Ovis aries: one gene and its partner. The protein of the gene in region 1 purifies or fractionates together with the protein of each later gene. This does not show direct contact. Links are inferred from orthologs where the notes say so. Each region holds a gene or a part of one and is shown in the gene's direction. Other genes may lie near its edges.

Evidence for each region.
Region 2: the proteins of PSMD14 (region 1) and UBE3C purify together in Homo sapiens (affinity purification with mass spectrometry; 4 studies listed by BioGRID, with this or other methods). This does not show direct contact. The link is inferred for Ovis aries from reciprocal best matches to the Homo sapiens genes PSMD14 and UBE3C.

What each region holds. Positions count from the first base shown.
Region 1 is NC_056055.1:148,389,586-148,393,237, reverse strand, and holds part of PSMD14 (26S proteasome non-ATPase regulatory subunit 14), read left to right. Parts: intron 1-2,180; coding exon 2,181-2,306; intron 2,307-3,652.
Region 2 is NC_056057.1:120,081,379-120,085,030, forward strand, and holds part of UBE3C (ubiquitin-protein ligase E3C), read left to right. Parts: intron 1-246; coding exon 247-400; intron 401-814; coding exon 815-1,035; intron 1,036-1,517; coding exon 1,518-1,675; intron 1,676-3,652. UniProt on the Homo sapiens protein: E3 ubiquitin-protein ligase that specifically catalyzes 'Lys-29'- and 'Lys-48'-linked polyubiquitin chains.

The sequences.
Region 1 (3,652 bases):
TCTTATATCTGAGACCCAACTGTTTGGAAATATCCATCTAATTACATCAGACTTTCTTTTTCTTCTTTCTTTTATAGTATCCATTCTTGATACCTTAGCTACCATCCTTGATATAAAAAAAGCACACATATAAATAATTAATTAATAGTATATTTATATTCCTAGCATAGCTCAGTTCATGTGCTTTCTTAATGTCAAAAGCCCCTGCCTTTATTCTTGTCCCACCAACCTGTATACTTAACTCCAAGTCTTACCTGAGGGGCCCAGTGCAATCCTTGTCCAGGCAGGGTGGGATATTCTGCTCATTGGGAAATTTTTTGGTTTGCTTTTGATGTGTACAAAAAGCCTGTTCTCAACAATCATAGGTAGCTTTATAACATTGGTATATATAGCTATATAGCATTTATAGCTTTATAGCATTCCCTGGGTTGGGAAGATCCTCTGGAGAAGGAAATGGCAACTCACTCTAGTATTCTTGCTTGGAGAATTCCATGGACAGAGGAACCTGGTGGGCTACAGTCCATGGGGGTCACAAAGAGCTGGACACAACTGAGCGAATAACACTTTCACTTTCTTATAACATTGGTAGTTGCAGCTGCACCAAAATTTCCTGAAGATGTATTTTCTAAAACATTATCCATGGTGTAGATGGGAAGCAAAGAAATTGGGCTACATGTTCAGGAGTTTTCCAGGTGTTTTCAAACTACTCTTGCCTCCATGAGCCCTAGGGGAGCAATCAGGGAATTTGGAGCTTTTGTGTCTTGAAAGTTCTCATAGATGATTTTGACTTGTAGCTTATTCTTCAGCATAAGGAAAACTTTGTACTGATTTTAGCTGCAAACAGTTCTTTTAAACTAAACTCACTTCTGACTATGTCTTTAGAGCCTCATGCCTTGTGGATCTCACTTAAAGTATACTGCTTCTAGGACCTACTGTATTGCACAGGGAACTCTGTTTAATGGTATATGACAGCCTGGATGGGAGGGGACGTTGGGGGAGAATGGTTATATGTATACGTATGGCTGAGTCCATTTGCTGTTCCCCTGAATCTAATCGGTACACCCCAATATAAAATAAAAAGTTAAATAAAGTATACTGGTTTTCATAGCAAGAAAACATCAATCATTCTGTAGCCACCATTTTTTTGATCTTGTGTAATTTTATCATTTAGAAAACTCTTCTTCTTCACTGGTAGTCCTCAACTGAAGGACATTATTTATAGAATAGGACTTTTAAGAAAAACTGTCTTAGGAATTTGAACTTGAAAACTGATGAATTTCCAAGAATATGTCCTCAGAACTACGAGTCCAATTTAAGAAATAATGAGCTAAGGTGTTTAGTTCCGTGATCATTAATAGGATCTGATCCTAGTTTGCTGATGTGATTGCAAACTGGATGAATCTGATTTTCTTCCCAGTTTTATGACTTTTCATTTTGATATAAAATTTAAATTTAAGAAGTTATAGACAGAATATTAAAATTTGAAGGAAACTTGGAGATTATCTATAAGCCTTCAATTCATAGATACTGTAAACAAAGGCTCAGAAAGACTGACACAAAGTCATTCAGTAAATAGGAGCATTTACCTCCTTATCTTGGTATTTGAAAGCTGGGCTATATGAACTGTTAGAAATCCTGTGCATAACATAGTAGTTTCATTCATTCAGTATATACTTATTGATTATATTCTATGATTAGAGTATGATCTAGATTCTAGAATCTAGATCTTGGTGATCTTGAATTAAAGTCCTTGCCCTGTTGATTTCTCTTTAGTGAGAAAGAAATGCACTAAACAAGAAAACACAAGTTTCAGCTGTTTATAGTGTTATAAAAATAATAAACAGGTTAAGGAAAGAAAGATGTTTAGGATAGTGTGGAGTGGCTTTTTTATAAGGTGGTGAGAAGTGGCATCTATCTCTAAGGAAGTGAGAAAAGTAAGCTATAGAAAGATAAAGAAAACAGCCTTTGAGGCAGAGGGACTGCAAAGGCCATGGGGTTGGAGTATTCCTTAGAGTTTTGTTAATATAGATTTAGGAGGATACTCTTTAGGGTTTATTTAAATTAATAAAATTAAATTTAAATTCATTAATTCCAAAAGTTGTTTGTGAAGTTGTTTTTCAAGACATAAAGGAAATTTCTTCAGTATAGAAGCATAATTAATTTTTCTTTGTGTTTTTTAGATGTTATTAAATTTGCATAAGAAGAGTTGGATGGAAGGTTTGACACTTCAGGACTACAGTGAACACTGTAAACATAATGAATCAGTGGTAAAAGAGATGTTGGAATTAGCAAAAAATTACAATAAGGTAAAAACTTATTTTCAGCGTTTATTTCTTATAACCTTTAGAATATGTGCAGTTAGATATCAGGCATTATATAAACAGTTAAAAGCAGAGTGGCCTATTTCATAGATCAAACAGTAAATATTTTAGGCTGTACAGGCCATCCCAGCCATCCAGTCTGTTGCAACTACTCAACTCTGCGGTTACAGAGTAAAAGTAGCCACAGACAGTAAATACACAAAGGAATGCGTGAAGCTGTGTCTTAGTAAAATCGGCATCCAGCGAGATTTGACTCATGGCCTGTAGTTAGCCAGCCCCGGTTGTAGACCGTGTAAAATGGTCTTGTACATTTGAAATCTCTCCATTACTCAGAGGACTTTTTCTTGAAAGGGAAGGAGGAACAAGGAGATGTGAACAACAGCAGCATTTAACACTTCATAACACGTAACGTGAAGTTTCCTGTTTTTCATTAAATAAGTATTTATTGGAAACCAGTTAGATAGATGTCAGGCTCTGGGGGTATAGTAAGAAATAAGACCTATCCTCGTGGAATTTATTTTCTGGCAGAGGAAACAGAAAGTCAACAAATAAACACAACACAATACATTATAATTAGTGCTGTGAAGACAGTGAACAGGATGATATAAAGGAGAAGAGCAAGGGGAGACCACTTCATATGAGGATGTAAGAAAAGTGATACTTTTGAGAATCTCCTAAAAATGTTTATTGTACGCTAAAGTGTAGGTGGCTCAGTGGTAAAGAATCCGCCTGCCAATGTAGGAGACATAGAAGACCTGGATTCGATTCCTGGTTCGGGAAGATCCCCTGGAATAGGAAATGGCAAACCACTCCAGTATTCTTGCCTGGGAAATCTCATGGTCAGAAGAGCCTGGCAGGGTACAGTCCATAGGGTTGCAAAAAGTCAGATGTGATTGAAAGACTGATCACATGCGCACACACACACAAGTATACGTGGTCACGATAATGTTTTATTCACAGATTTCTGTTCTTTTACAATCTGAAGCTCGAAGTCCAAAATCAAGGTATTGGGAGGGCCTTACTCCTTGTGCAGCCTCTAGCAGGGGAGCGTCCTTCTTTTCCTTTTCCAGCTTCTCTTGGTCCCCAGGTATTCTTTGGCTTGTGGCAGCATAATTCTAAGCTATAACCAAGGTTATGATTTCAATATATCCTTTTAGGGCGGACATGGTTCAACTCATAACGTGTTTTTCTACTTTTTTGACAAAAATCCATATAAAGAATAGATTTTACATTTCAACCCAGTACATGCAATGTATTTGTACGTATGTGTATATATTACAACAGAAGTAAAGTGAAGTGAAAGTCACTCAGTTGTGTCTGACTCTCTGCAA
Region 2 (3,652 bases), on another chromosome or scaffold:
GTTGTTGGTGCTGAGCAGTGGGTTCCTCGACTTTACACATCACTTCAAGTTACTTGGGAACCAAAAGGTTTACTTGATAAAAACTTGAAGGAAAAACTAACTTGAATTTGGACTTATGGAGATTTATAAAGAGCAGTTAAAAATTGCCAAGTTTGTTTTCCCCTTGTTGTAAAAAAAAAAAAAAGATAGGGGTATTGATATTTTAATACAAATTGATACAACTTATAAATTTTTTTTTTCTTTCAGGGTATTATAGATCTCTCTATTTGTTAATTAACAGCAAGCTTCCATCAAGTATTGAATATTCTGATTTATCTCGAGTTCCTATAGCAAAAATTTTGCTAGAGAATGTTTTAAAACCATTGCACTTTACGTACAACTCCTGTCCAGAAGGTGCAAGGTGAGAATGAAATCAGTTTATTGATTTTGTAATTCCGCAAGATCTGTATCTAACTAACTTTGACACAGGGTGCTGTCTGAAATATGGACTTGAAAGTCAGTTTTGCTTTATTAGTGTGACTCAGTTTAAAGAAAAATATACTTTTTCTATCTGGCCTGCACCCAACATAAATTTATAATTCTGGTGACCTGGTTATTTTCTTGCTTTCTAGTAGCTATCAGAAGATAGAAAAATATAGCAAAGTCTTGTTTTTTTTTTTTTTAATAGGAATAATAGAGCATTAAGTTTAGGGTGCTCTAGTTAATCTGAAAAACTTGACTGACGAAAAGGTTATTTTGTGTGCAGTGATTTTATCAATGATTTTGTGGACAGCGTATTTTGATTTTATTACGAGCTTCCATTTTTCTTCATTAGGCAACAGGTTTTTACAGCCTTCACGAAGGAGGTCCTGACGGCCCCCTTCACGGAGCAGGTCTTCCACTTCGTCATCCCTGCCCTGGCGGACCCACGGGCCGTCTTCCCCTACGAGCCCTTCCTGACCGCACTGCTGTCCCTGGAGGGCAGGCGCCCCGCCACCAGTGGGGGCGCGCCCTGGCTCTTCTACTTCGTCTTAACCGTTGGTGACAATTATTTGGGTATGAAACATAGGGTGTCCCGCTGAGCTCACGTAGAGGCAGCATGCGTAGATGGGAGCAGGGCGGGGCGGGGTGCATGGCCGGGTGTCCCCTTGTCAGCACGGCCTCTGGGGGAGGAGCTCCTCGGAAGAGCAGGTTTGCTTAAGGCCGTGGCCTGGCCAGTGTCCCCGGGCATAGTGTCCGGGCAGGATGAAAAGTCTGATTTAACAGGGCCACACAGGTTAAAACGAGTCTTAGGGTTGGATGGGCCGATCTCTGAGTGCGGGGCTGCTCTCCCCCATCTGTGCTAAGCTGCTGGGCTGCCTGGCATAGCATTTGGGTATCTTATGCTAAAATACTTGAGTGCCCACATCTGCACGCGAAATATTAGAGATGTGATGTGTGTCCTGGTCAGAAATGCCTCTCGGAGTTCAGGAGAAGCGGTCCCCCGCATCTGCCAGTTTCTCACCCCTCCTAACTAACGGTGTGGCTGTCTCACCAAGGCGCGCTCTCCGAGGATGGGCTGCTGGCGCACCTGCGAGTCCTCCAGGCCCTCCTGTCCCAGCTGCCCGTCTCGCCCACCCGCGCCAGCGGCCAGGATGCAGCCAGCGACTCAGACGAAGAGGAGGGGGAGGAGGCCGACAGGCCGGCCAGCGCTCCGGTGAGCCCCCAGCTGTGCGTGTGCACGCCCTGTGCTCCCCAGGCCTCTTCCTTACACCCACGCTCACACGTATGGGCACGCGCAGCTGTGCGTCTGCTTTCTGGTGTAAACCAGGAGTACAGTCTGTCAGTTGAGCTTGCTGTCCAGTTGCTCAGTCGTGGCCGACTCTTCGCAACCCCGTGGACTGCAGCAGGCCAGGGTGCCCTGTCCTTCACCACCTCCCGGAGTGTGCTCAGATTCATGTCCGTTGAGTCGGCGATGACATCTAGCCACTTCATCCTCTGCCACCCCCTTCTCCCTTTGCCTTCAGTCTTGCCCAGAATCAAGGTCTTTTCCAACGCAGAGACGTGCAGTCTTATGTTTGGCCTTTCAGTGCCAAGTAGGGACACCACTCTTCAAGTGAAGCTATTGGTTTAGAAGGTTAAGCTCCTGTTTACAGGAGGAGCACTTACTGTGTGCCAGGCACTATTCCACTCTTTTATTTTTATTTTTAAGAATTTTTAAAAATAACAGCTTGATTGACATACATTTTTCCATAAAATTCACCCTTTTATTTTTTAAAATAAATTCTTACCTGTCTGTTTTTTGTTTGTTTGTTTGTTTGTTTTGCTTCACAGCATGTGGATCTTGTAAGATCTCTTAGTTCCCCACCCAGGAATTGAATCTGTGCCTTCTGCAGTGGAAGTACAGAGTCCTAACCACTGGACCACCAGGAAAGTCCCAGAATGAGCCCACTTAAAGTGACACACTGCTCAGGGACTTTGCAGTGCATGAACATAGCTAGGCATCTGTCCCACTGAGCCTAGACCGTCTTCATCACTCCGCAGAGATGCTCCGGTCAGGCCCTCTCCTGCTTCTCCTCCCCGGCCCCTAAAAGAAAAGCAGGGCAGGTTTCCTCTTAACTGTCTCTTGAACACTGCAGAGCCTCTCTGGTCTTTTTCACAGGTTTTATGGATGGTAACCGTTACGATTCACTTTGAAACTCATTTCATGCACGTTGTCACATTTTATCTCCGCGTTCCCCTTCTCCCTCTTCTTACCTAGCAGTGCTTCCTGTGTGTTTTCAAGGAATAAAAACCTCATGTCACACACGCTGTTTGTCTTACCTGAGTGGTGTAGTCTGCCACTGATGTCTCTTTCTCTTAATTACACAATTGCAGTGCCTTGAGGTGTGGCTGAACTAGGTTTAAGGTTTTTGTTTGTTTGTTTTGTTTAGAATATGTCTCTTTGGTTGGTGCCAAGTCTAGTCCCAGGAAAATGCCCTTGAGAACATGCTGGGGGGAGGGGGAGCAGGGGGTGGAGCAGAAGGGCTCAGAGGCTCCCTTAGCAGAGAGGAAGCCAGCCCAGCAGAGGGATGGGGGCAGCCGGTGTGGCCAGCGCAGGGCTTGTTACAGAGGGCGGATCCGAGGGTTCTGATGGGCGCTGGGGCTCTTGCTACGTCTTGTCACAACTCAGATGCAAAGAAGTGTGAATTGTATGGTCAAAAAAAAGTGAGATCTGATAGATGAAAAGTTGATAAAACTTCTGTTTTCAGAAGACAGTTTGTTCATACTTACCTTCTAGAGACTGTGTGACATTTAAATATTACCTGTGTAGGCACACCTCATTTTATTATATTTCTCAGCTACTCTGCTTTTATACGTTAAAGGTTTTTGTCAGTTCTGTGTTGTCAGATGATAGTGAGCATTTTTAGCAATAAAACATTTTTAAATTAAGGTAGGTGCATTGTTTTATTAGAGATTGCCATCACATTATGCACTTCCTAGGCTACAATAGGGAGAAGGCAATGGCACCCCACTGCAGTGCTCTTGTCTGGAAAATCCCATGGACGGAGGAGACTGGAAGGCTGCAGTCCATGCGGTCGCTGAGGGTCGGACATGACTGAGAGACTTCACTTTCCCTTTCATGCATTGGAGAAGGAAATGGCAACCCACTCCAGTGTTCTTGCCTGGAGAATCCCAGGGACGGGGCAGCCTG